4 linked regions of the Cricetulus griseus genome follow. The protein of the gene in region 1 purifies or fractionates together with the protein of each later gene. This does not show direct contact. Links are inferred from orthologs where the notes say so. Each region holds a gene or a part of one and is shown in the gene's direction. Other genes may lie near its edges.

Region 1 (7,359 bases):
ACGGGCCCTCTCCTATCTCCCTTCTCTAAGATGGCAGCCAGCAGTTCTGAGGTCTCTGAGATGAAGGAGCTAGAAGATAGTTCCAAGACCCAGAGAGAAGGACCTGGCCATTCTGAAGCTGGCCTAAGTCCTGTCCAGGTTGTAGCAGAGATTCCAGACCAGCCAGAGGCCCTTCAGCCCGGCCCAGGTATCACTGAAGCCCCTGTGGACTCAGGGCCTAAGGCTGAGCTGGCCTCAGAAACCACAGAGACCCCAGTTGAGGCCTCAGAAATAGTCCAGGCCGCAGACCTCAGCTTAAACCCACCCGAAGAATCCAAGGCCAGCCCCAGCCCCAAAGAGGCATGCCAAGAGTCAGCATCCAAACCAGATGTGAACAAAGAAGCTGCAGCAGAGCAGGGGTCTGAGCAGCAGTCTGCAGCCCCTCCTGAGCCAATCTCAGAGCCTGCTTTCCACCTAAATCCCCAGCCAGATCCTCAGCCAACTTCCCAGTCTGCTCCTAAGCTACCCCTTCAGCCAGAGGCCCCCACCCAAGAGGACCCTACCACTGAGGTCCCGACAGAAAGTATAGGGGAAAAGCAAGAAAATGGAGCAGTGGTTCCCCTTCAGGCCGGTGATGGAGAAGAGGGCCCAGCCCCCCAGCCTCACTCACCACCCTCAACTGAAACACCACCAGCCAATGGGGCTCCCCCCCGGGTGCTGCAGAAGCTGGTTGAGGAGGACAGAATAGGAAGGGCTCATAGTGGGCATCCAGGATCTCCTCGAGGTAGCCTGAGCCGTCATCCCAGCTCCCAGCTGGCAGGACCTGGGGTGGAAGGGGGTGATGGCACCCAGAAACCTCGGGACTACATCATCCTTGCCATCCTGTCCTGCTTCTGCCCCATGTGGCCTGTCAACATTGTGGCCTTCGCTTATGCCGTCATGGTGAGCCCCAAAGGGACCCTGGCCCAGGCATACTGTGCTCCCAGCTTCCCGCTAGTGTCAGAATAAAGCCCCAGAAATGACACACTCCCTTTCCTCTTTCCGCACGGACCCCACTTTCCCAGTTGCTGGACCTTTGCTTGCCTCTCCCCAGGACCTAACCCTCCAAGCCACTCTCGACCTGCCCTGCCCTGCCCTGCCCTTTAAGCGGGAGGGAAAAGATGTTTCATGTAACTTTGCTGACCTGTGTGCCCTCTTCCTCCTGCATTCCCAATCCTTCCTTTCTTAACCCCATGGGCTGACCTCCTTCCTCTGGATTCTCACCTGATCCCTGCTGGGCTGGCTCCTGTTGACCTGGGCCATGACACCTCCAACCCCCCTCACCCGCACCCCAGTCCCGGAACAGCCTGCAACAGGGGGACGTGGACGGGGCTCAACGTCTGGGCCGAGTAGCCAAGCTCTTAAGCATCGTGGCGCTGGTGGGGGGGGTCCTCATCATCATCGCCTCCTGCGTCATCAACTTGGGCGGTGAGTGGGGGTCGGTCGGGGACAGGAAAGGGAGGAGTGGAAGGGTTGACAAGGGCAGCTTTACTAACCCCTTACCCTGCTCTCTCCTGTCTGTTCTCCCTATTTCTTTGTCTCTTCCTGTCTCCTTCCCTGTTTGTCTTTCCCTCTCCTCTCCCACAGTGTATAAGTGAGGGGTTCTGCCCTGCATTCCAAGACTTTCCTTCCTGTTGGGAGCTGTCTTGGGTCCATCCCTACCCTGGGGGAAACCCAGTCCATGGCCCTGGCCCCCATCCCTAGGGACCAAGGGAGCCTGAGCAGCCTTGTTTACAGCTCTTTCCTGCTCCTGCATCCTGCCAGGCTCCACTGCCAGCCACAGGGTTCCTTTCTCCCTGCACTTTTGCCTGCGGATCTCCCTTCTTGCCTCTTGATCCCCCCTAACCCTGCACTCGGAAAAACCTCTCTGCACTTCTGGAAGCCTTCCTGAACATCTAAATTGTACTCTGCACCTCTGCATCTCTCCCAGCCCACTGCACTTCTTCCTGCCTCTGGACTCCTCTGAACCTGAATTAACCCCCACCTCCTAACTGTCATTGTCTTGGCATCTAACTCATTCTTTTCTTCCTTCCTTAACACCTTGCTCCCCTTGCCACATCCCTGACTCCTCTGCCTTCTCATCTCCCTGCTACCATCTTCACCTTCCTGCACCACTTATTCTGTAAAAAGCTGCAGTACTTAGGTCAGGCTGAGGGAGGAGGACAGTGTGAGGAGAGGACTGCCTAGCTAGGGGCTCTGACTGTTCTCTACTGGGGACCATCTGGGCCCAGGCCATACCCTGACCCCAATCCCTAAGGTGCCTACCGGGTTGCAGAATTGGCAAGCCAGGCCTCACCTGGGGGAAGGTGAGAGTGGGAGTCCTCATTCTAAACATCCAGGGGAGGAAGGAGTGCCGCAGCCTGAGTTGACCTGCCCATTCGGGCTTTTAACCTCAGAGTTTCTTGTTTGAAGGTCTGGGGGTTTGGGGCCATTCACTTGCTTTGTAAACAATAGAATTAAAAAAAAAAAAAAAAAGAAAGAAAGAAAAAAAAGGACCAAAGTTCCCAGCTGCAGGGAGCGAGGGAGGGGTGGGGGAAGTTCTGTTATTATTCTCTAAGAGGATAAGGTGTTGCACGCCACAGCCCTCTGAGGAGGCAGGGAGCCAGCTGCAATGCATTTTGGAGTTGGGGAGGGGGGGTTGTTTCCTTTAAGAAAAAGTTGGGAGAAACTAAAATTCCTTTAAAAAAAAAATCAAACTGAGTCTCCCTTTTTGTATGCTGAATGCTGCATGAGTCGTAAACACCAATAAACAGAGAATGCATGAGACTCGCCTCAGTTGGTCCCTGTGTTCGTTTGCAGAGTCAAGGCACTGCTTTCTGGCAGGCCCTAGTGAACGAAATACGCATGCGCTGCCGCAGTGGCCATCTTTAGTGTGGGCCGAAGCTAGTGGTGCCTACAGGCCTATCCGCGCATGCGCCAGCCTTCTCTTCCCTCTTTCGAGTAGCTCTGATTACAGTCGAGTCTCCGCGCGCCATTTCTCTGCGCCTGCGTGCTGCGACCCTGCGCGGCCGGGAGGCGGGCTTTAGCTCCGGTTGTACGGCCGCTGAGTTGACGAACTAGGTCTGCGAGCTCTAAGGAAATGACTCCCGTCCAGGTGTTGGAGAGGGCGATGTGAAAGCGAGAAAGCAGGCCCTCCCCTTTCCAGCTCCGAGCGCGGTTCCTGCGGGTCCCCGGGAACGGCAGGATTCTGGATCTGGATCCGTGGGGTGGGGTCTGTCCTTGCCGGGATCTGAGCGCCCCCTCCTGGGGACGGGTCTCTGGCCGCAGTCAGTGTTGGACTGACTGGTTGGAGATTTCGTAAACCCCAGTGGATTTCAGTCCTTTTGGGGGAGGCGCCCTGGTCTGGTACTCCAGAATCTCTTACATTGCTGGGCTTCTCTAGTGCTCTATGTCCCTGGGCCATGGAACCATTGCAGGCAGCACAACGGCGCCTCTGTCTGAAGAAGGGGAAGTGACTTCCGGCCTCCAGGCTCTGGCGGTGGAGGACACCGGAGGTCCCTCTGTCTCGGCTAGTAAGGCCGAGGAAGAGGGGCAAGGAGGTCGGGAGGAGGCCGGGCGTGAGGGATCCAGGGCTGAGGAGGCACTAGAAGCTCCCAACGCTGCGGGCGACGAGCGCGCCGAGGGAGAATCCGAAGACTGGTGCGTGCCCTGCAGCGATGAGGAGGTGGAGCTGCCGGCCAATGGGCAGTCCTGGATGCCCCCACCCTCCGAAATCCAGCGTCTCTATGAACTGCTGGCTGCCCAGGGTACTCTGGAGCTTCAAGCGGAGATCCTGCCCCGCCGGCCACCTACTCCTGAAGCCCAGAGTGAAGAGGAGAGATCAGATGAGGAGCCGGAGGCCAAAGAGGAGGAGGAGGAAAAGTGAGACCATAACTTTACGTTGCCCCTGGGACTGTTCTCCTGAGCACAGAAACTGGAGGGAGGGTTGAGCCAGCAGGTGTTTGGGAGGGCCTCCCTCACCCGTCATTCTCTGTTCACCCTGTCTCAGGCCGCACATGCCTACAGAATTTGACTTTGATGATGAGCCAATGACACCGAAGGACTCACTGATTGACAGAAGACGTACGCCAGGTACGAATAAGAGGGAAGAATTGAGGGGAGGCCCCGGGCCTCTTCTGTGTATCCCAAAGTGTTCCATCGGCTGCTATCAAACCAGCCGCAGGATGGAGCATACACACAGGAGGAGGGTATTTCTGGCTTAGGTCAGTGCCTTACTTTTTCCTCTAAGAGACCCACAGACCTTCTTTTGCCTGTTCATTTCATCTTATTCCCAGAAGTTCAAAGTTGGCTGGTCATTATTCTAGGACACTATTATGTAGCTCTGTGTACATCCCCAGAACTGATCTGCCATCCCAGCCCACGTGCCTTCTGAGACTTACTCAGAATCATTGAGTTCTCTCCCACCTGGTCAGGCCAACAGCAAGTTCCATTAGCTCCATGTCTACAGATGTACCTTTAATACCATCTCTCTCCTGCTGGACAGTTTCCACAGCTCTAACTGGTCTCCCTGCTTCTGGTCTTGGCAACCAGAGTAGTCCTTGTCATTTCTCTGCTTGTAGTCCTCCAGAGGGTTCCATTACAGGTAACATGACCAGGGAGAATCTAAGTTGTCTGTCCTCTATCCCCACCCCAGTGCCCCAGGACCCTTGCACTTGTCACCCCCCACACACACACCCAGTATGCTCCCCAGCCATCACATGTCAGTCATCCTGTGTGTGGCCCAGCCTGAAGCATTAGCTCCTCTGTGCTGAGGCCTAAAATGGATGTGTTCAACAAGGTCTCTAAGTGTAGGGGCCGGAGGTGCTCGCTGCCTCAATCCTGTCTCACTTCCTACCTTCTTAGGAAGCTCAGCCCGGAGCCAGAAACGCGAAGCCCGCCTGGACAAGGTCCTCTCGGACATGAAGCGACATAAGAAACTAGAGGAACAGATCCTTCGCACTGGGAGAGACCTCTTCAGCTTAGACTCAGAGAGCCCCAGCCCTGCCAGCCCTCCGCTCCGATCCTCCGGGAGCAGTCTCTTTCCCCGGCAACGGAAGTACTGACTATTGCTGCTGGGGCCTACAGGTGCAGACTTTTTCTGCTGGTCGTGGCCAGCCCTTCCCAGCCCAGGCTCTGGGAAGCTTGTCACAGAGAAAAGCTTCAAGCTCCCAGCGCAGTGCCTTGCAGGAGAGTGTGTGTTCTGTTGAATGTCTGCTTGCAGTTCTGAGCTGGGTTTGCTGAGCCTAATAAAAGATGCAGAATGAGTCTTTTGGCAGAGACTGCCACTGAACCCAGGCATGTGCTGTCACTTGGGCAGAGGCAGAACTGTATTCCTCCGCGTTGGAATAGTGACGCCTGAAAGGGCAAAGGTACCCAGCCATCATCCCCTCCAGTCTGGTCCTCTGACACTTCCTATTCTCAGTACAGTCCCACAGTCAGTACTGAGGCAGAAACTACTGAGTATGCACCAGTCTGCAGTGTCTTCTTCAGCTGTAGCCTGGAGGAGGAAAGATACAGTTGCAGGGCCCTTTAAATACCCAAGCTCCGCCCCTGCCTGTCCAGCCCTATGGGGAAGTCATCCCCAGTGTGGGTAGGGAAATTCCTGACTCAAGGCCTGCAGCAACCAGCTACACCGCTGCTAAATGTGAGTACGGGATCGAGACCCTGGCAGGACCCCCAGACTCCAGCCCATGAGTAGGTGTCTGTCCCACTGGCTCTCTAGTGCTGCCTTTTTTCTGGGGCAGTTACACCTTAGTCACAAAGGGCAGGAAGGAGGGCGTTGGCAGCTCTGCCTTGAGAGGTTTCACTTTCTAAAAGTTTTCTGGGTTTTGAAATACCCTGCCGATACCCTCACTCCCAAAACCTAAAGCCTCCCTGACATCGGGATCTCACAGAAGATTGGGGGTAAGGGGGTGCTTTGGTCAGGCCCTTAAGTTATTAAGTTACACACACTTAATAACTACCCACTCAGAAGGCTGAAGCAGAAGGGTGCCTTGAGCCCGGAGCTCCAAGCCAGCTTAGACACATAGTTAGACCCTGTCTTCTTCTTTTTTTTTTTTTTTTTTTCTGGTTTGTTTATTTGGCTTTTGTTTTTATGAGAAAGGGTCTTGTGTTTCCTAAGTGGTCTTGAACTCTCTACATAGCCCAGGATGACCTTAAGTGTCAGATCCTCTTGCCTCCACCTGCTGAATGAATGCTGATGTAGCTGCCTGCCACCGCTATTAGTTTTATTCAGTGCTGGGGTTCCAACCTAGGGTTTCATGCATGTTAGGCAGAGACTCTGCAAACTGATGGTTGGGGTGTAACTCAGTTTCACAGCATAACTGCATACCCAAGACCCTGTTTTTGGCCCCTAACACACTTTTTTTCTTAAAAAAAAAAAAAGCCCAGGGGAACCTTGCCAGACACAGTTCACACCTCTAATCCCAGCACTTGGGCAGCTGAGGCAAGAGGATTTCAGAGGTTTGAGGCCAGCCTGAGTTACATAGTGCCACCACAGCCTGAGCTACAGTGTAAGGTCCTGTCTCAAATAACTAAGCCAGTTAGACAAAGTTACAGCTTCCATGCAGGCTCCATCTTTTGTCTTACTTCCCTATCCTCATTCCCCCAAGGACCTGGGCTCTGCTTTCTCTTCTTGAATGATTAGCATGTGACTTGACCCTGGTCTCTCTCAGTTGTGGGGGCTCTGCTGCCTTGTACAGGGCTGTGGGAGCTGTGGGCTTCAGCACTGAGCGCTGGCTAACAGGATGATCATAAGGGTAGCTTGATTTCCAAAAGGTGCAGAGTTTAGGGAGAACGTGTGTCTTTGGGGGAAGAGGACGTAAATGATAGTAAGCTCAATTGGACAATCAGCCTGAGATACTGGAGACTTGGGATCTGTGACTGGAGCCCAATTCTGGCAGGAGATGGTGGTTAGGGCAGCTGTTCCTAATGTTCTCTGCTTCCTACCTGAGGACCCTTGGGACAGGGAAGAGAAGATGACCATCACAGGAATACTGGATGACTCTCCAGGAAACTATCTACTTATACCTTTGGCACATTGAGTATCTACCCTGCCCTGAGGTGGGGCAGTTGGGCAAGGCACCTACCACCTTGAGTGCCTGGGTGCTGGGTATTCAGGTCTCCTGTGGTGTGTGCCAAACTCCAGCTCCTCGTGTAGCAGAGGTTGGTCACTAGCTCAGGTTATGGGAATGTTCCCCTTTGAATGTCTATTGGTGCCATTTCCTGGACAACAACAACCTCACCCATATCCTCTATGACCCATGGCCTCACAAGCCATACTGCCTCCAGTAATGGTGACCCAAGGGAAGCCTGGTCAACCTTCAAGAGCAAAATGACTGAGCTAGACCTTGACATCTTAGG
Region 2 (7,610 bases), on another chromosome or scaffold:
TGGGATTAAAGGTGTGAGCCACCACTGCCTTGATGTAAGCATATTTAAATTCAGCACAATTTGAGAAAAAAAGTTTTCAGGCAACCATCACTCCAATTCCAGGTGCACAATAGAGTTTAAGTCATGGCTACATAGAAACTCCTTTGCAAAGTACATGTGACCTTTAAGGTAAGTTGTGCTAGCTTAAAGGCCCAGGATCTGGTGTGGTCTCTGACTGAGATAGAGGTCAGCAGGCTATAAAGTACATGTGGCATCTCACCTAAGGGTGGCTTCTGGTAACTAAGTGCTAAAAATAAACATCTAGGAAGGGAGAGTCTGTGGTAAACATTTGGGGATTTGGGTCTGGCACTATAGATAGCAAAGGTCACCAGGTCATTAACAGCATCCACTCCCAGCTTTCTGGGTGGAAAGTAGGAATTTTATTTCTTCCATGGAGGAGACCCCCCTGAATGTTCAACATTCTTAGTTTCCTTAGTGCTTATCTGTGACTACAAGAACCTACCTGTGCCTTCTGTACCCACTCACTCACCTCTACATATTCCCCATAGATTCATTTGTCTATTTACTTACCAAATACCCACTCATCTATCTTCTCTTCTATCTAGGCTCCCATTCATCCACTGATCCATCCATCTAGACACATACTTGCCCTTCTATTTAGGTGTCTACCATACACCCATCCACATAATCATCTGTCTAGATATTCATCCATTCATGCACTCACCCATCCATCTAAATAGGAGGGGGGATACAATTATTCAGTGTTTACTAGATGTCACCCCTCCATCTCCTTTCCCTTGCCAACTGCAAAGACTGTTGTGTGAGAATTCTGATCCACCTCAGACAGGCCCAGGGGACACTGAGCCAGGGACTGCAATAAAAGGTCTTATTTCAGAAGGAACTAGCAGCTGTGCTGTCGTATTCATTTATCTGGGGATCCAGATGGCAAATCCAAATGGATGTTGGCTGTTGGAAGTTTGCTTGGCTGTTATGAGAGCTTTAAGTGAGAGGGGAGAGGAACTTTCTAGATATGTTGTATTTATAAGAATTGCTAGGGGACTAAGATGGATCAGCAGTAAGGAACACTTGGTGCTCTTGTAGAAGAACTGGTTCTATCCCCAGCACCCACATTTCAGGTTAGAAACAACATGCAACTCCAATTCCAGGGGATGTATCTTCTGGCCTCTGTTGCGCTCTTGTAGACATGTGGTGCATATAAACTCATGCGGGTACATACACCAGCACATAAAAATAATAAATAAAGCCAGGTAATGATGGCACACATCTTTAATCCCAGCACTGGGGAGGCAGAGGCGGGTGGATCTCTGGGAGTTCAAGACCAGTCTGGTCTACAAGAGCTAGTTCCAGGACAGCCTCCAAAGCTACACAGAGAAGCCCTGTCTTGTAGAAAACAAAACAAAAAAGTGTACTAATGTAATGCTGCTTGTTTAACCAACTATGTTTGAGATGACCTAACTGTCCCTAAAATTCCCCTAACTGTGCTTAAAGGAAGCCTGCACACGCTTCTTGGGGTCATTGCTATTTTTGTGCAGGTGAACAGCCTTACATATGCTGGTATAGTAATAAATGCTCTTTGCTCTTACCTACTATTTGAGTCTGGGGTCTTCCTTCAGTGTTTCCTCTGACCCCAACAACAGCTCTACCCTGCTGTGTTACTTGGTTTCAGGGTTTGTGCTATGACAACAATGGTGAAGTTTCCCACTTAAACCAGAAGGCTGTTTCCCTTGAGAAGAAGACATTCAAATCCACTGAGCGAAAGTTGGAAATCTGAGGGCTCTGGGTCATCGTTCGGGCCTCCCAGGCTGGTCTTGATTGAATATGTAGCTAAAGATGATCTTTCAAAGTTCTGATCCTCTGCCTCTAACTCCTAGTGCTTGTGCAACCACACTTGGTTTATGGGTGTTGGGGATTGAACACATGGCTTCTTGCATGCACTCTACCAACTGAGCTACATCCCCAGACAGACCTGCATTTTAGCAGTTCCTCTGGCTGGAATCTGGAAAAGGCTGCATATTAGGTAGAGCCAGGATGAGGATGGAAGTGGAAGGATTTGAGTGTTATCTGAGCAGAAGGAAGTTCAGAATTAGGTTTGGTTTCCAGTCCAGGCAGCTAGGCAGATATGGGAGATACTGTTCTTCCCACCTTACACTCTGCTCCATTCAGGGCTCCGAACATAGGGATCAGGTTTGTTAGGCACACAGTATCACATCGGCTGTTTCTGTGTCCTCTTTGGAAGGGGATTCTGGGCCAGTTGCCAGTCTTCTCTCACTCCTATAGCTATGGGAACCACACACATTCTCAGCTCCAAAGGCTCACTTCCTTTGCACAGGTTCCTATGCTATATTTGATACTCCCACACTGGGAGATAAGAGGCCGCCACCATCTCCAAGATTCTAAGACCATGTGTGTTAGATAGTAAGATGAAGATGCAGCCTGTCTTCAGGTTGTCATTATGTCCTTGTGTCCTCTCTGGGTCTTTCCTCCATTAGTGACAGGAGTAGAGGTGGCCTACAGGAGAGGGGGCTGTGAATACTTTGCTTAATTCGGGCATCCTGCCTGTCTGGAGCTGTCTTGTGAAAATGAGAATTACGGTGAAAACAGAGACTTTAAAATGAGCCTCTGAGCCATACAGGAGCTGGATTGTAGTGGATACTGCGGTTGCCTGGAATGTGATCTCTGGGCACCCAAACTAAGGAGCAACTGAATGATGCAGTGGTTCCAGATGCATGCATAGCGAGAGGACCTAGAGCCCCTGTGTTAGGGACACTTGCCTTTCATCTTTCTTTTTTCCTTCCTTCCTTCCTTTTTTTTTTTTTTTTTTTTTTTTTTTCTTTCGAGACAGGGTTTGTGTGTAGCTTTGAAGCCTGTCCTGGAATTAGCTCTTGTAGACCAGGCTGCTCTCACAGAGATCCCAGATGCCTCTGCCTCCGAGTGCTGGCATTAAGGGCGTGCGCCACCACCGCCCGGCCTTGCGGCGATAGTTTCTAAGACCTTTTTCTGAGTATGGGGCTGCGTAGCACAGCCTCCTTGTCGCCTAGCTCAGAGGCGAGGCAAATGTGTCCAACTTGAGCTGTGGCTTGTAGCGGCAGGAAGCCCCCGCCCTGCGGTAGGCTGGGGAGGCCGCAGGAGCTCCGGACTTCCGGACCTCGTGGACCTCCACCAGTGGCACCGAGAGGGTTCCCAAGACCCCAGCGCAGTCACAGGCCAGGACGGCCAAGCTGTAATTATCAGCTTGGCGACACAGCATGGAACAACAGGAGAATCACAAAAGCACATTCCGTCCCATCCTTCACTGCAGACACCACGGGTCTGCAACCAATGGATCCCAGCTGTCAAGCAGGAAGCGAGAGCCGCCGGCGGCCCCTTTAAGGCACTCCTCCTCCTCTAATTTTTCTGACCCTCGTCGCCGCCCGTTGCCCCGCCCCCCGCGCACGCGCACTCCCGCCCGCGTACCGCGCCGCTGCCGCCTAGTTCAGGAGCTCGTCTGCTCTCGCGCGCAGAGCTAGCCGACGCGACGCCAGAGCGCCCGGCCCCGCCGCCGCGGCCCCGGCAGGTAAGAGAGTGAGCCGGCCCTTTGGGCGCGAGGCGGGCGGCGGCCACGAGGGATAGCGGGCTCCGGGATCCACAGCGCCGCACGTGTTCCATGGGCCTCAGGCCGGGCCCGGCGCCGCCTCTGGGGCCGCGCCCCGACCCCACCGCCCCTTGTGGTCGTCATGGCCCACTCCTCCCACGACAACCCCCACTGCGCCACTAGACCCTTAGTCGTGCGAGCTCCTCGAAGCACACCTCAGGCTGGTGTCCTTGGGGGTGGGATTCACGGTCTTTCACCCAGCCAGTATCTCCCAGGTTTCCTTGGCCACTTGGCGCCTCTCTTATGTTGCCAGTTGCCAGCACAACCTTCACCTGAGTTCCAGTGCAAATTTCTACCTGACGAGGCCTAACTCTAGTCAAGGGGGTTGTAAACACTGTCTGGGTCAGCACACAGTGGTGTGAAGCCAGGGCTACTAGGACCAAGGTACTAGAACCCAGAGAGAATGGGTTGTAGCTCTTTGTTGGGTTGGCCAGCTGCAATCACCTGAGTGAAACATTCTGTCTCTTCTACACTTGTGCACTCAGTGCCATCCAGGAATCTGCATTCGATTGGAGAGAGAGTAGTGACTGCTGCCCTTCCATGGCCAGGCTCACTGTAGTATAAAGCCCAAGCCACCTTCCGAGTATTCTGTTTAGCATACCTTCCTCTCAGAGCTGTCCTCCCCAATCCTGCTTTTCCGTAGGCTTAAAACTTGCACACCTAGATGCTCTGTCTAGGACTCTGCCCAGTGAAATTGGAAATCGGTGATTTCTTTTGAGACAGACTTATGTAGTTGCTGGCATCTCTTTTTAACTGCTTTGAACTCCTGAGCCTCCAGCCTCCGGAATGTTGTGAGGAAGACTGGCTAAAGTTGGTGGGATTTTTTTTTTTTTTCTTTCCTCAAGACAGGGTTTCTCTGTGTAGCCCTGGCTGTTCTGGACCTTGTTCTGTACATCAGGCTGATCTTGAACTCAGAGACTCCCAAATGTGGCCTAAAGCGTGGTGCTTTCATATGTTAATATTTGACATCTTGAAGAAAGACCCTGTCTGTCCACAGGGTATTGCGGGGTGGGGAGGGTGGTGGTGCACACTTGTTTGCAAAGTCATCCACCCACTGCTAGGTGAATCTCCTTATCTAAAAGAAGCTGTTTAGTTCCCAGAACCTTCCCACCCAAGAGACCTCCCCTACACTGTTGCCCTGTCCTTTTACTGGGGAGATTTGCTGGGCTTTGTGAAAGGGACTTTCAGCATCCTCAGCTCCTCCTGCTACCTGTATGGTCAGCAGAAGTGGTAGCTGTGAGAATCCATGATATGGCCAAATTTTCATTGAGAATAAGCTCCTGGCGTTGGTAGCACATGCCTTTAATCCCAGTACTCAGGAGACAGAGGCAGGCGGAACTCTGAGTTTGATACCAGTCTGGTCTACAAGAGCTAATTCCAGGACAGGCTTCAAAGCTACACAGAGAAACCCTGTCTCGGGGAAAAAAAAAAAAAAAGAATAAGCTCCTGGTCAGGCCTGGTGATTGATATATGCCTGTTACATCAACTGTACCCAGAAGCTGAAACAGGAGGCTTTTGAATACCAGGTACATAGCTAGACCCTGCTTCCAAAAAGCTAAAAACACCAAACAGCTGACATTTCCTGGGCACCAGAGCTTTGTTCCCTGGAGAACCTAGGGGATCTATCCTCCTCCAGTCCTTGCACCTGGGCTTGAGCTACAGCAAGCTATGACCGTGATGGAACGGGCTGCAGGTAAAACAGCTGGGCTGCACCTGTGCCCTTTGTGGTGGGCATTGTAACTGTTACTCCTCTAGGACTGAAGACTTTGAGACATGTTTTGTGTGTGTCCTTCATTTGCCTTAGTCTTTACATGGGGTCTGTGTGAGGTTTCAGGTTTAACCTCAAAGCTAGAATTTACATCATCATTCTTATATTGATGGCCGAGAAATCCATGACCAGTGACTGACATTTGCAAGTATGCCTTAGTAGTTCTCCTTTGAGGACTACTACTTCATTTCCAAGTCACATGGTGCGCTTTTGTGTGGTGCATCCAGGTGATGGACCTATTGCTGCAATGGAATTAACTGTTGCAGGTGTACACATTTCAGGCTGAGTGCTGACCAGAATAACTACTTTCCTCTGCACAGTAGCATGTATCTAGTTTGCAGTTCACTGCTGTTCTCGCTGCTCCTCCTGAGGAAACCTGTGGAGGCAGCGACCACTCTGGTTTACTCTTGTAGCTCTTTTGTAGTACTGTGGGCACTGAGTCCTTGAGCTCTGTGAGCTTATTCTAGAAGGCAGCTTTGTACCTGCAGCCTGTGAGATCATAGGGAGCAGCTGGTGAGGTGGTGGCCACTGGGTTCATAATGCCTGTGTTTTCATGATCAAATTCCTTGGGTGCATTTTAGGGTAAGCTCCCAAACTTCTGCACAGAAGGTCTACCTCCTGTCACTTGGCCTGTCAGTTTCTGTCAGAAAGCCTTTTTTTTTTTTTTTTCTTTCTTTGGTTTTTCGAGACAGGGTTTCTCTGTGGTTTTGGAGGCTATCCTGGAACTCTCTCTGGAGACCAGGCTGGTCTTGAACTCACAGAGATCCGCCTGCCTCTGCCTCCCGAGTGCTGGGATTAAAGGCGTGCGCCACCAATGCCCGGCCAGAAAGCCTTTTTAATTAAAAACTGTGCCCAAGGCTCTTTGAAGCAAAGCTCACATGCCTGTACACATCTAGTACTGCAATGGGAAGCTGCCTTGAGGGTCAAGTTTTTCTTAAGCTCACAAAGAGGTCAAGAGCGGGTCATCACACAGAACATTCGAAGCTTCAGCCCTGGGACAGGGTGACAGTTAAAGGATGCCTAGCTTGGAACAGTTTATTAGCTGCAGGGTTCAATATAGTGGTCATGTTTTTCCCTTTTTCCTGAGAATGATTGCTTTTATACTTGGCAGGGTGGGTGGGTGGGTAGATGGTGGTCTTATGCATGTTAGGTGAATGCTCTCTGGTTGAGTTATTATACTTATCCCCAACAACCTTTTGTTGTTTTGAGACAGGGTTTCTCTGTGTAGCCCTGTTTGTCTTAGAACTCTGTAGACCATCTCAAACTCGGAGATCCACTTACTTCTGCCTCCCAAATGCTGAAATAGACGTGTGCCACTATACCTGGCCAAATTTATCTTATGTGTGTTTTTGTTTTGTCTTGCTTGCTTGTATGTCTGCGTACCACATGTATGTAGTCCCTACAGAGGCCAGAAGAGGGCGTCAGATCCTCTGAACTGGACTTAAAGATGTTTTACAAGTGGAAATCAAAGTCGGGTCCTCTGGAACAGCATTCAGTCCCCTCCCAGTAACCTTTTTTAAAGAGAGGATTTGTTTATAGGCCCTATACTGTAGCGTACGCTTTAGCTGACAGCCTCTTCCACTGTGACTCCCCCTTCACGGTGTCCTGCCCGGTGGGCATCAGAGCCATGGCCACGGAGGAGAAGAAGCCAGAGACAGAGGCTGCAAGAGCACAGCCTACCCCTTCCTCATCAGCCACACAGAGCAAGGTATGTCCCACAGGGACCGCTGTGGCAGACAGGCTGGAGAGATTCTTGGGGATGTTATTTTATTAGTGCAGGCTGCTCTGCCCAGTGAGGTATGCTGGCAGTGTGAGTTTCTGGCCACCTGGCAGTGGTCACACAGAGCCAAATGCTAGGTGCTGTCAGAGATTCCCAGACCTAAGACAGTGGGGGTGGAGTTTAACAAAAAGTACAGATTGTTTTGAGGTAGAGTCTTCCTATAGTCCTGGCTGGTAAAGAACACAACATGCAGATCAGGCTAGTCTTGAACTCATATAGATATGTCTGCCTCTGCCTCCTCCCTCTCCCCTTCATGTGCTGGGATTAATTTAAAGATATGTACCACTCTAGTTGGCTAAAAAAAATTACAAATTGTTGGTGTGCTGAGGTAGGGACTCCAGAGGAAGAAGGGGCTTTGAAGAGAGTGATAGGGTTACACTGACAGTTTGAAGTGTGACGTCAGATAAGGT
Region 3 (6,904 bases), on another chromosome or scaffold:
AGCCACCAAACCAGGGGCCACAGAGTTTACACCCAGGCCTAGGAGGTGAGGAACACTGAAGTTACTTGTGTTGGTAAATTTAGTGAAGCTAGATTTGAATAGAATGTCAGGTTTTAGTGTTAATGGTGGGACTGAAATAAGGATGTAATCGTTTGGTTTTGTAATATGGTGATGACACTTGATATAAAACTTAGTTAACTTAATGTATTTTTATCTAGATTACTATGTAACATCTTACTGGTTAAATATAAGCTAGCTCTCTGGATAAACATGCAGGTAAAATTCAAAATAGAGATGTTCATTTTGTTTCAAACTATTTTTGCTTAATCATGTACTAGTAAATTAAAATGTCCAGACCAAAACATGTATTTTATTAATAATTTAAACTTCTCATTTGTTGAAGGATTAAGATTTTTATACAGTTGAGCAAAAATGAAAAGATAAGTACAGGGTTTTATGGGGAAAATGCCCTTCTACTTACCAATTTTGATAATCCTAGTTACTAAAATCTAAGCATGGTATTTGTTAAGTTTGATTAAAGTATTAAAGGGGACTAAGTTCAAAAATCATTACTTTTATAGTTTTATAATGCCAATGCCTGCTCCTTAGAGAGGGAATTCCACTAGTTATACCTAAAGGAGATTTATTTATTTATTTTGTAAGGTGCCTCTTGTATGAAGAAAAAGCAATGGAGCTTAATGTGTGAGAGGTAAAACGATTACAGTAAAACTTATCCATCTCCATGTTTATTATTTATTCTTATTAATCATTGACCTAGTGCACATGACTGTGCTTGGAGCTTTTCAGTAAGGCATAGAGAGTGTCAGTAAAACTCACCTGATAAGACTATCCCCCCAAAAAGACACCCATTGCCTACCCAGAAAAAAACCCTTGCATCTTCAATGCAACATAGCAAAGGCATGCTCCCATGGTTTCTGGTAAAGTTAAGTTGCCCATCAGTCCTTTCACTCTCTTATAATTGATTTTGTTGAAATACAGGCTCTAATATTTCAATTCTAAGACATTTTTAGAAAATGTAAGAATGTTTCTGCTCCAAACTTCACTATTCCGGGCATCTAGCCCTAGATCAGTAGAATCTGGGTAGTCCCTTCTGCAGATATGATTACTGACTTAATTACAACGAAAGCATATAAATGGGGACTTGTTGCTGTAATGAAAGGACAAATGCATATTTGTCTACAAAGAGTTTTTCAGGGTATTGAAAATCTGGCCCTAATGAACAAATTTGAGAGAGCTTTAGGTATTGTTGCTTTTATAGAGCCTAGGTGGTCTCACCACATCAAGACCTGCGGTATGCACATGAGTGGATCTGAGATTCTCTTTACTGCAAACTTGTTTTCTGAAATTAGGCCTTCCAAAAGGTTGTAAACTTGAGTAGGATTACATTAGAGCATGATTTTTGGTACCATAGCTATCAGAATCACAGCAAATCTTACAAGAGAAAGGCATAAGTTTAATGCAGCCTCACTTTGAAGCTCCTGTGAACTCTTGTCTCTTCCAAAGAGATAAGCACAACGCTGGTGGGGGAGGGAGATTTTTCTGCAACGATTGTCATTCATTTTCCTCAAAGGGGGGAAAATACATCACCCATCTATCCTTAATTGGGACCCAACTCTTTCTTTATACTATTTCATACCAATTTGTTTGAACATGAGAGAATTTAGCATAATCTTTTGGTGCCTGTGTTGCAATATATAAATACTGGGAGTCATTGTTATTACAGAGAAAAGTGAGCCCTCAAACCTTACTATGGTATGGCCTCAGATCACATGTAGGGAGCAAATTGCCATCTTTTCCTTGGCATGTTCTGAGTGGAAATTTTTTAGTATTTCTTTTTCATTTTGACAATGCTCATGTAAGGGATTGTATTGATTTTTTTAACCATCTTTCCCAACCTTATTATTAAAGATCCTACCAGTGTGACAGAGAGAGCTAAGCCAGTGGAAACTTCATGCAGCTCATCCTTCCTTATTCATTCCATCTCAGCAGGAGTATAAATTTGCTAGGTAACTGCCTCACTCATTGTTTTCTATTAAGGAATGCCTAAACGCCTCCCACCTGGCTTCTCAGCAGGACAGGCCAATCCGAACTTTATGCAAGGTCAGGTGCCTTCCACCACAGCAACCACCCCTGGGAATTCAGGAGCCCTTCAACTGCAAGCAAATCAAAATGTCCAGCATGGAGGTTTGTTTATTTTGATTTAATTAGCCACATTTATTGAGCATTGATTATGTGGTAAATACTTTGATAGACAATAGAGGTATACAGATGAACAAATCCTTTAATTTCCTCACACGTAGATAATCTTTGGGAAATAACAGAAAATAAGTTTTGTTTTGTTTAGTTTTTTTCAAGAACCAGGAAACACCTTAGGAGAAAAAAAATGAAACTTCAGTTAGAGCAGGAGTCATACACATGCATGAACACGCGCTCACACACACATACTTCCTCTTCTTTCTATAAAGGGCTAAATAGTAAATAGCTTAGGTCATTTAGTCTGTATTGCAGTTATTCAACTCTACTTAGTGAGGACAACAGTGTTCCAAATCCTTGCCTGTTTTCAAACCAATCGTAGGCCTGATTTGCTGACCCTTAGATTAGAACTTGCTCAGGAAAAAGGCATTTCTGGGAAAGGAAGCCATAAATTCACAGTTATATGGGTTTATGGCATGTTTGAACATCTGCAACTTTTAAAATCTCTGGATAGTACATATCAGCTTCATTCATGCTGAGTATCTAAATTCTGGTATGCAATGTGGCACTTTTCCAATTCAGTCAGTACCAATAGTATAGTATATATAAGAAAGTTTGGACAGGAAATAACATACAGTGGATTAGCTAACAAGTACTCCTTGAAGCAGTTTTGTAAGCCCAAATTTCATGTTTCTGGGTTCTTCTGGTTGTTTAGGAACTAAGTAATTTTTTGCCCTTTCTCATTGAAGTAGTTTGAACTAAATTAGCTTAAATTTTTCTGAATTCCAACTTTCATTGTAAATTACTTAAAGAATGAGAAAAGTTATAGAGCCTTCGAGATGTCTCAGCAGGTTAAAGTTCTCTTTCTGGCCTTCCTTGCCAATGGGCATATATATGCCTACACACACATCACATACAGTAATAATAATAAATAAATAAAAATTCAATTTTCTAAGAAATAAAGAACAAGGGACTAGAGAGATGACTCAGTGTTTAAAAAGGCTTTCTACTCTCTTAATTCTCATTGTCCGTGTCAGTGGCTCACAACCTCCTGTATTTCTGGCTTCGGGAAATCTGACACCCTCCTCTGGCTCCATGGACATGAATGTGTCATGCATTCACACAGATACATATGCATTAATTTTTTTTTATTCTTTTTAAAATAATGAGGCTAGGCACAGTGGCACATGCCTTTAATCTTAGCACGTGGGGTGCAAAGGTGGGAGGATCTCGGAGTTCAAGGCCACCTTAGCCAACATAGTTCCAGGACAGCCAAGACTACATGGAGAGACCCTGTCTCAGAAAAGAAAAGAGAATGAGAAAAAAATTGGACTTAATAAATAAAAAGTAAATACTGTCTCTTGAAGGATGAGAGAAGAGTAGGACAGATGATTTGATTTTTCCTGTCTGCCAATGTAAAACTGCATTTCTGAGTTATGTGAGTTAATGTTATAGGAGATTTAAAAATGTATAAAGTTCCTAATTCTTGGGGCTGGAGAGATAGTTCAGTGGTTACGAGCATGAGTTCAGTGGATATATAGCTCAATAGTAGAGTTGTTGCCCAGCATGTAAGTGGCCTTTGTTTTTATTTTTGGTGTTTTGATAAAGGATTTTACTATGTAGCCCAGGCTAGCCTTGAACTTATGACAGTTCTCTTGCCTCAGCCGCTCAGGTGCTAGGATTACAAGCATGGAGCCACTGTGCCCAGCTGAAAAAATTTTAAGCCAAACGTAATAGTTAAAGGCAGCTTGGATCACATTGTTTCAGAGCAACCTGCTATATAGTGCTCTGAAGGTTTACTCAGGTGAACTGTGGGGTAGATTAGATTGGGGGTATAGCTCTAATTGAACACATTGGAGGCCCTGGGTTCAGTCTCCATCACCACCAGTGAGATGTAGGCATAAAGCAGGTAGCTATAAGAAAATCCCAAGGATCCAACAAACAAACAATGCAATAGGCCAAGACCTATTTTAAAGAGAACTTAGAACATGTCCCCTGTGGTCCACAAGGGACTGCCACAGAGTAGGATCACTAAACTTTTAACATCTCCTGTCCACAGCTACCAGATCAGAAGTTTGTCATTTCAGCAGAAAACCTCGTGTTAGGAAATATTGTATATTATCTTCTTTAAAGTACAACATCTAGATTTCACACACATAGTTTTTGAAAAGCATAATTACTTTCCCAAGAAGCATTTTTTAAATGTCTTTACAGTATTCCTGAGTTTTTTTCTGGAAGACACTGGTACATTCTTTGTTTCTCTCACTTACTCATAATAAAGCTCATTTTTAGCCCATGATGGTTTTTGTTAAGGCTTATAACTACATTATTGTGAATAAAATAGTTACAACAGTGGTAATGCTTCATTTAATTTAAAAGTAAACTTTACTTTCCTTTTTTTTTTCTTAAAGATTTATTTATTTATTATGTATACAGTGTTCTGGCTACATGTATACCTGCAGATCAGAGAGGGCACCAGATCTCATTACAGATGGTTGTGAGCCACCATGTGGTTGCTGGGAATTGAGCTCAGGACCTCTGGAAGAGCAGGCAGTGAGTGCTTTTATCCTCTGAGCCATTTCTCCAGCTCCTAAACTTACTTTCTAATGTTATCTTTAAGTTACTATATAAAAGTAAAGATACATTTCTCCTGCTGTATGATCATGAAATATATAAGCAGTTACTTCCATCCTATGTCACACTTCCAGAGTCAAAATACCACACAGAAAATGTGTCAAACAGTACATTTGTGTTGATTATTAGATACATGGATGATGGATGTCTTTCTGAGTAAGGTAGTTTGAGTATCTTAGTAATATGATGATGATGTTTCATTCTTTGTTTTTGTTTAAGGTGGTCAAGGAGCTGGCCCTCCTCAAAACCAGATGCAGGTGTCTCACGGGCCACCAAATATGATGCAATCCAGCCTCATGGGAATTCATGGCAACATAAACAACCAGCAGGCTGGTAGCTCTGGGGTTCCTCAGGTGACCCTGGGCAACATGCAAGGCCAGCCTCAACAGGGCCCACCATCTCAGCTGATGGGCATGCACCAACAGATTGTACCCTCTCAGGGCCAAATGGTCCAGCAACAAGGAACTTTGAACCCTCAGAACCCTATGATCCTTTCAAGGGCCCAGCTTATGCCACAGGGCCAGATGATGGTGAACCCTCAGAACCAAAATCTTGGGCCTTCACCCCAAAGGATGACCCCACCCAAGCAGATGCTTCCCCAGCAGGGCCAACAAATGATGGCACCACATAACCAGATGATGGGGCCTCAGGGGCAAGTTTTGCTCCAACAGAACCCAATGATAGAGCAAATAATGACCAATCAGATGCAGGGGAATAAGCAGCAATTTAACACTCAGAACCAATCCAATGTCATGCCGGGACCAGCACAGATAATGAGGGGACCAACTCCGAACATGCAAGGAAACATGGTGCAATTTACAGGACAGATGTCAGGACAGATGCTATCCCAGCAAGGGCCTGTAAACAGCAGTCCATCTCAGGTTATGGGGATTCAGGGGCAGGTTCTGCGGCCCCCAGGACCCAGCCCACACATGGCCCAGCAGCATGGTGATCCTGCTACTACAGCAAATAATGATGTCAACTTGTCTCAGATGTTGCCTGATGTTAGCATGCAACAAACCAACATGGTCCCCCCACATGTGCAGAGCATGCAGGGAAACAGTGCTTCGGGAAACCACTTCTCAGGCCATGGGATGTCTTTCAATGCACCATTCAGTGGTGCACCCAATGGAAATCAGATGTCTTGTGGTCAAAATCCAGGCTTCCCAGTCAATAAGGATGTAACACTAACAAGTCCATTGTTGGTCAACTTACTGCAAAGTGACATTTCTGCAGGCCATTTTGGTGTAAACAATAAACAAAATAATACGAATGCAAATAAACCGAAGAAGAAGAAACCGCCTCGGAAGAAGAAAAATTGTCAGCAAGATCTAAAGTAGGTTATAATCAGTTAACCTTGAATATTGCTCATTTATTTCTGTCTAGACATTTGTTGATAGAAATTTTTAAACATATTTAAAATTAGAGTTGGGGAATGTGGCTCAGTAGAGTGTCTGTCTACTATGCACAAAATCTGGGCATAAACCAGCCATGGTGGTAGACTCCTGTAACCTGGACTACATGAAACCTTTCTCTAAATTTAGGATAGTACAGTGAGATTGTCTAACAACTATCAGCTTATAGTTTATCTTATCTTCATCTGTACTCTTTTCTATGATCTTTTTATTTACTTTAAGGTAAATTTGCTTTGTAAATATATCAGTGCCACTCTGAATGATAAAGATAGTTCTCTTATATAACCACAAAATAACATTAACATGCCTAGAAAAAAATTTTTTGTTTGAGACAGGGTTTCTCTGTTGTAGCCCTGGATATCCCAGAATTCGATCTGTAGACCAGGCTGGCCTCAAACTCAGAGCCCAACTGCCTGTGCCTCCCAACTGCTGTAACTAAAGGTGTTCGCCACCACCACCCAAAAATTGCTACTTAATAGTTTCCGAATAGTGTTAACATTTTTCTATTTCTTTTTTCTTTTTAGTTTATTTGTTTAAGGATTCAGACAAAATCAGTACCTTACAGTTGGCTGATAGGCCTTTTAATTCTGTAGTCTCAATGGGAATTGTATCTATCAACCTGAAAAGTGACCAGGGCTACC
Region 4 (6,904 bases), on another chromosome or scaffold:
GCAGCAGTTGGCTCCTTCCCTTTGTTTCTTGAATGACTCAAGACCAAAAACAGGATGTGGAGGAGTCTCTGGAGCTGCCAGGGAGGAAGCTCCAAGGCTTACGAGAGGATATGCGATTTGAGGACACACTTTGCACACATTTCTATGGAGAGAGTGAGAGTAAGATTGGATGCTTTCAAGACAACTGGTGTGGAGGGTGAGGGGAGGTAGTGGCCAGCACCAGGAAACAGAACTTACACAGGGGGAACATTTGTCTTAGGGTACCGTGGGAAGCCACCTGGATGACGTGGCTATCACACAGGAAAGTTAGTAGATACTGTGTAAGATGAGAAAACAGTGAACGAGCATCGCATGTGTGAGTTAGGATATGTTAGTAATTGTCAGGACTGAGCTTAGATGGCGGGAAGCAGGTGCAGGCAGGGACTGATAGCTTTCTCATGTCACCTGGAAGCTGAACTTATGAAATAAGCACTTGAGTCAGATTGAGAGCAGGTAATTTTCAGTGTTGAGCTTACATTTCAGCTGCTGTGCAGTGATGTTCAGATCTCTGTGGTGACAGCCTTTGGCTGATATCTAGGGTATATAACCAGCATCGGAATAGAATAGTTCTTTCTCCAAAACTGGAATCAGTTTTCATAAATGTTTCATAAATGCTGTGTGCGTGCGTGCGCACGTGCAGTGCCCACTGAATCTTGGGGCATTGGGTCCCCTGAAGCTAGATATGCGGGCAGATGCGAGGGTGCTGGGAACAAGCGCGAGTGCTGGATGAGCAGTACTCATTCATCTCTCGGAGCCATCTCCAGCGCCTTGACACACACTACATTCTGACGCAGTGTGAGGGTGTGTAAGGGCAGTGGACCTGCTCTGGGAGCATTTGGTAGTTAGAAGTGACACCACTGGTGCCCAGTGAGAAGTCAGAGTGAGCACTGGACACCATGCACCACCTGGGCAGTTTCCCCCACACCCTCTGCTGACCAAAATGTCAGCAGTACTGAGGTGAAGAGGCTCAGTTTTAAGTAAGCACATTGCCTTCTACTTTCTGTGAAAGAACTGAGTAGCAGTGCTGGGGGAAGGTTCCGTGACTGGTATGACTGTTGCTGTTAGGTACTGTTTATCCTTTGGTGAATGAGCCATGCCAGTGTAGCCTGACTTCTCTTCATAGTTGTCTGAGTTGAAATCCATTCTGTTGTATCCCGTTTGGCTGCATCTTTTGTGTAGATAATCCAGGCGCATGGCGGCACTGTGGACCCCACATTCACAAGCCGATGCACACACCTTCTCTGCGAAAGCCAAGTCAGCAGTATGTATGCACAGGTAAGAACGGTTGGTCACCGTGACTGGCGGCAGCGGCATTGTTACATGCAGCCTAAGAAGCAGGTGCATAATATATTTGTGGAACAGTGTCATGTGACCCACATTGGCCTTGACCTCAGTGTGCAACAGAGGACAATCTGAAGCCTGTGATCCCTTCGTCTTTACCGCTTGAGTGGGAGAGGCACACACCTTTCGTGGTCCTGGGAATTAGACCGAGGACCTCTTGCACATTAGACAAGTGATCTGCTGCATCCTCCCAGTGCTTACAGTCTTCCAGAGAATATTTTCCTGCCTCCAAAACTCAGAAAGTCACTTCGTTGGGTTAGATACTGTTGTGGACAGCTTTGGGCAATAGAGAGGGAAGAGGGAGAGGCCCCAGGTAGAGGCAGGGAAAGGGCCGGCCCTCCTAGTCACCATCCAGATGACCCTCAAGATGGGACGTGGAACCTTTTGCTGTTTTGCATGCAAGAGCTTCTGGGGGTTAGACCCTGAGAGGGCAACAGTGAACCCTGGGCTGTAAGCTCCTCCCAGCATCACCTCCTTATCCCTGAGGTTTTCATTTCTTTTTGTAAAAATGTTGGTGGTAGTTCAGATGGATGCTATGTGTACGTGACATTGGCTTTAGGAGCACCTTGTTAGGTACCGGTGACTGTCCCACTTTAGACTGTGAGCTTCACCTGTGGTTAAATTTAGGAGTCTGTTATATGTACATGCTTTGTATGCAGGGTGTAGGGGTGTTTCCCTTTGTGGGGGGATTGTGTTGTGTGGTTTCTGACTAGTTTTTCTTTGAGGTTTAAATTTAATCATGTGTATATGTATTTCTTTGTAAGTGCATAAAGTGTGTGTAGGTGCCCTGGGGGGCCAGAAGCCTCAGATCCCCTGGAGGTGACCTCTTTGATTCATTGGTTCTGGGAAGGTGGCGCTGTATTATGTAAGCCAACCATTTTCTCCCTGGTTCTAAGCAAAGAGCCTGAGACAGCATGACTGTTGTTTTGTTTGCCAGGCGCTACGGGAGAGGAAGCGGTGTGTCACTGCACACTGGCTCAACACAGTCCTGAAGAAGAAGAAACTGGTGCCGCCCCATCGAGCCCTGCATTTCCCTGTGGCATTTCCACCCGGGGGCAAACCCTGTTCACAGCATGTGAGACCCGTCCCCTCTCCTGCTTGGCTTTCCACAGTTGTGTCCCAGACTCCTGGGTGCTTCTCACCCTCTCCTCTGTGCACCGTGCCCACCGTAGCAGTGGCAAAGACGAGGCGTTTTACCTCATTGACACGCCAAATGCTAGGATGAGTCAGCTGCTGTTGGGCAGACGTAGGCAGTACTTGTGGGCACTTGCAACCCAGTGATCCAGAGTCTGGATGAGTGAGGAAAATAAAGACCTGCCCTTTGTGTGTGTGCTCCGCACAGTAACCTGAAATTACCTGAGCAGCATTGCACAGATGCCAGAAATACTCCCTTGTGAGTGCAGCTCCTCATCTCTTCTTGCCACGAGGATGCTGTATGCTTCACGTTATCAGTGAAGTTACTCTCATGATGCTCTCAGGAATGGCAGGGCCAGATACATCCCCAAGGCCATAGGAGCATGAGAAAGTCTAATCAAAGCCGCTTTGTGTTTATATTCTCATCTGCTCTTTTTTTCCCCAGATTATCTCTGTGACTGGATTTGTTGACAATGACAGAGATGACCTGAAGTTAATGACATACCTGGCAGGTGCCAAGTATACGGGGTACCTGTGCCGTAGCAACACTGTCCTCATCTGTAAAGAGTAAGCTGGGCTTGGAAGCTGTTTCCGTCCTGTTTGCCTTAAGGAGAGGGACGTGGAGATAGTTGGGTGGTTTTGTTTGTCTGGGGGGAGGTGTGGCCTCTTGTAAGCCAGGCTGGTCTCAAACTTGTGGAGAGCCTCCAACTCCAAGTACTGGGATCTCAGGCATGCGCTACTACTATGTCTGGCTGCAGTCATTTTCTAATACACTGTAGTTTGTGTGAATTTCAAGTGTGGAAGTACATGGAAGAATAACTCTAAGGCCTTTGAGCGTTTGTCTTCCCAGCTCACACTGTCCTGGCTGTCCTGGAACTCACTGTGTAGACCAGGCTGGCCTCAAACCTGCCTCCGCCTCCCTGGTGCTAGTATTAAAGGTGGGCACCACCATGCTTAAAAACAATCTTTGTCTCTATTTTTAAAGAGGCATCACTGTTCACGGAACTGTCAGAAACACCTCTAAAAGACTTCACTTGGTGAATGGAGGAAATAATAGAGTGTGAATTGATGGATGTAGATACCAGGGATAGGGTTTAAAGTCGGATACTGACCCAGTTGGAGACTGGGGTTAACTACCCTTGGCCTCCAGCTTGGCTTGCTGGCAGCTTTGCTGAAACATGCCCACCCACTTTATTAGTTCTTTTTAAAATTGGCTTTTGTTGAAAATAGACAAGAATTCATGGCAAGATGACACTAACATTGAATAAATGTGATTTCTCATTAAAAAAAAAGACCAAGTGGTTTGAAGTACGAGAAGGCCAAAGAATGGCGGATCCCGTGTGTGAATGCACAGTGGCTGGGGGACATTCTGCTGGGAAACTTGGAGGCCCTGCGGCAGGTGCAGTACAGCCGGTACACCGCCTTCAACCTTCCGGACCCCTTTGCGCCCACTCCTCACTTGGTCCTAAGTCTTTTAGGTCAGTGATGGTTCATGTGCTTTCACTGTGGCTTGACACCTGTCAACTCTTCATGTCACCTGCTTCTTTAGTTCCCTTCTGCACCTCCCTGTTCCCTCCCCCTGGTTTGGTTGTTGGGTTTTTGTCTGAGAAGCATTTGGAGCAGGGAACACACCCCGTTTTCTCCTCAGGGTGATGCTTTCTTTGTCACTGTCAAGGTTTGGGAACTTGCTGTCACTCCCTGATGCTGCCCCCTGCCTTGTGTGGTCAGCTTCTCAGGGGAGGACTGTCCCATGGAAAATAGGGACATAAGATACAGCACAGCTTTTTTTTAAGGTCTTTTATTCGTGTCTGTAATATGTGTAATACAGCACTGGGTTTTACCTCTGCCTTTGAGAATTGAGCATTTCTCAGGTTGTCTTTTGGTCACACCTGAGAAGCCCAGTTGGATTTAGAAGGCTTTCATCATGGGAGGGGGTCTTCTTTAATCCGCACTGTGCAGCCATTCTGCATATCTGGGCCTTACCAAGACTTCTCTGCATATCTGGCCTCAGGTCCGCTCTGTTGCACGGCACAAGCTGCTCCCTACGGCCAGCACCTGTGTATTGGCCGTTGTGGGACCTGTTGGCCCTGCTCATCGTAACTGCAGTCTTCCCAGAATGGGACACAGCACCCATTACATACCCTTGGTGAATCATGGTGTGTAAAGCATCAGCCATGCTTGCCTCACCTGTCCTAGAAACCTGAGCTACAGTATTGTAGCTACACTTGCCCTGAATGAGTGTTATGGGCAAACCCTGTGTGTCCAGGCTCCCTGCGTCGGAAGGGCTTCCAGCAGGTTGGTGTGAATATTCCATATGGAAGATGATATCTTTCTCTTTCAGATGCATGGAGGGTCCCAGTGAAGGTGACTGCAGAGCTCTTGATGGTACGTCAGCCCCACACCCACAGTGGCCATTGCTGTATGTCAGCCCCGCCCCCCCCACCTCCCCCTCTGCCCCCCCCCCCAGACTGTGGCTGTGTTACTCAATTGCAGTGGACATGTGAATGCTAGCTTTTAGTTTAGTAGCATATGAAGGTTGTCCTCTCCATGTTATAGGTTTGTAACATACCAGTTTACATGTTTCTCTGTTGTCAGTGTGGATAGTGAGTGGGCACATGTGTACATGAGCTTTGCTAGCTTCAGAGAGCTCTGTCACACTCCAGGAACCAAGGAACAGAACTGTCAGATGTCAGGTTTTTTTTCATAGCTAGTGGGCAAGGCCTTCAGAGACAAAGAGACACTGGAAGTGGCAGAGGCGTGGTCCAGCACAGGCCACAGGTCAGAGTTCCCTGTTTTGGGTGAACATTCCTGCAAGCCCTTCCTAGGCAGGGAGCCTGGACACAGACAGGGCTTGCCCACAACACTCATTCAGGGCAAGTGTAGCTAGGACAGGTGAGGCCATGTCATATTGGCTATTCTGGAGAGCCCATTTAGCATAGAACATTCTGGAAGTTGTTAATTGCAGATTGACTGGTAGAGGGTATCTATATTCTCGCTCCCACTCTACTGTTTGTTTTGTGATTGGAGACAGGTCCCATGTAGAGTCCAGCCTGGCCTTGAACTTGATGTATACCTGAAAATGACTACAGTGTGAGCTACCTACCATGTCCAGCTTTAACCTATAGCGTTTAAGAATGGGTTTATATAGCCAGTCACATGAAATGTGTACCTATAGTTCTTTCTGCTCGGGAGGCCAAAGTGGGAGGGTTCTTAGAGGGTAGGAGTTTAAGGCCAGCATGGCAAGGCCTTTATTTCTTTTTATTTCTTTTGTTTGTTTGAAACATGATCTCTCTAAGTAGCCCTAGCTATCCTGGAACTCACTATGTAGTCATGGCTGTCCTGGAACTTGCTAAGTTGACTGGACTGGCCTAGAACTCCCAGAGTTCTGCCTTTTGAGTGCTGTGATTAAAGGTGTGCACCACCATGCTCAGCCCTCTTGTGGCACATTCTGTAATATACAGAGATGATTCCAGGCTGTGCACTTCAGGGCCTGCTGTCAGATGCATATTTTTCTCTAGCTTAAACTAGTAATTATGACTTTAATATAGCATGACCAACTCAGGCACATCAGCAAAAGCCAGTGTCCTTCCTGCTCATGTGGTGAAAGACTTCCTGAGGTTGGCCCAGATGGCAGAGTGGCAATCAGAGTCATCTCTCAAAAGCCACATGGCCCGTACTGAGAAGTGGGCAGCCTTCCCAGGCTGGTCTCCTGGGCCTTTGTATTAAAGCTCCAGCTCCCAGGCAGGCTGGATCCCTCCTGGCTAGGGGTTTTTTGGAAATGGCAGAGGGGGACTTGGAGGGGGACTTGGAGCATCTGCAGGAGGTAAGGACCTTCCTGCAGACGCTGTGTGGTATGCTGCTTAGGCCTCTGAGGCTGCTAGGTGCACAGTGCAGAAGAGGTGTGCTTGGCTTTCTTTCCCTGTTGTGTTATGGCAGCATGTGTTGGAAATGTGACTTGTTGTTAAGTGAGTCTGAGCCAGATTGAGAAAAGGATCATGAACACAGTGATGCAAGCAGGTACGGTGGTGGGATATGAGGGTTTGTTTTGCATATTTGGTGGTGCTGGGTAGTGGTTCTGCACCCAGCCCTTTTTATGGAGTTGAAACAAGGTCTTTCTAAGCTGCATAGGCTGGCCTTGAACTCATTCTGTAGCCTAGACAGGCCTTGAACTTTGCAGGCCCAGCTAACTAAAGTATGTTTTTTAAAAAAAAGCCTCTGCGTTACAGTGTGAAGACTTGAACACTGTGGCATAGTGTAGGTAGCCCAGGCGGTGAGGCCTGCAGGCAATTTCCATTCTCCCCTTCTGTCTTGTCTTGTTGGTGTGCTTCTGCCCTGGGCAGTGGTTTGGGCTGGTGGGTGAGACCTTCCACTGAGGTGGGACGGGCTCTTG

The links.
Region 2: the proteins of Pagr1 (region 1) and Wdr5 purify together in Homo sapiens (affinity purification with mass spectrometry; 5 studies listed by BioGRID and IntAct, with this or other methods). This does not show direct contact. The link is inferred for Cricetulus griseus from reciprocal best matches to the Homo sapiens genes PAGR1 and WDR5.
Region 3: the proteins of Pagr1 (region 1) and Ncoa6 purify together in Homo sapiens (affinity purification with mass spectrometry; 3 studies listed by BioGRID and IntAct, with this or other methods). This does not show direct contact. The link is inferred for Cricetulus griseus from reciprocal best matches to the Homo sapiens genes PAGR1 and NCOA6.
Region 4: the proteins of Pagr1 (region 1) and Paxip1 purify together in Homo sapiens (affinity purification with mass spectrometry; 6 studies listed by BioGRID and IntAct, with this or other methods). This does not show direct contact. The link is inferred for Cricetulus griseus from reciprocal best matches to the Homo sapiens genes PAGR1 and PAXIP1.

What each region holds. Positions count from the first base shown.
Region 1 is NC_048596.1:73,735,463-73,742,821, forward strand, and holds Pagr1 (PAXIP1-associated glutamate-rich protein 1), read left to right. Parts: upstream 1-2,976; 5' UTR 2,977-3,406; coding exon 3,407-3,879; intron 3,880-4,006; coding exon 4,007-4,089; intron 4,090-4,860; coding exon 4,861-5,060; 3' UTR 5,061-5,287; downstream 5,288-7,359. UniProt on the Homo sapiens protein: Its association with the histone methyltransferase MLL2/MLL3 complex is suggesting a role in epigenetic transcriptional activation. However, in association with PAXIP1/PTIP is proposed to function at least in part independently of the MLL2/MLL3 complex.
Region 2 is NC_048599.1:139,188,550-139,196,159, forward strand, and holds the start of Wdr5 (WD repeat-containing protein 5), read left to right. Parts: upstream 1-3,423; 5' UTR 3,424-3,574; intron 3,575-6,959; 5' UTR 6,960-7,047; coding exon 7,048-7,128; intron 7,129-7,610.
Region 3 is NC_048599.1:24,215,569-24,222,472, forward strand, and holds part of Ncoa6 (nuclear receptor coactivator 6), read left to right. Parts: coding exon 1-45; intron 46-2,058; coding exon 2,059-2,205; intron 2,206-5,067; coding exon 5,068-6,184; intron 6,185-6,904. UniProt on the Homo sapiens protein: Nuclear receptor coactivator that directly binds nuclear receptors and stimulates the transcriptional activities in a hormone-dependent fashion. Coactivates expression in an agonist- and AF2-dependent manner.
Region 4 is NC_048601.1:94,826,871-94,833,774, forward strand, and holds part of Paxip1 (PAX-interacting protein 1), read left to right. Parts: intron 1-1,218; coding exon 1,219-1,314; intron 1,315-2,317; coding exon 2,318-2,455; intron 2,456-2,959; coding exon 2,960-3,081; intron 3,082-3,807; coding exon 3,808-3,992; intron 3,993-4,855; coding exon 4,856-4,899; intron 4,900-6,904.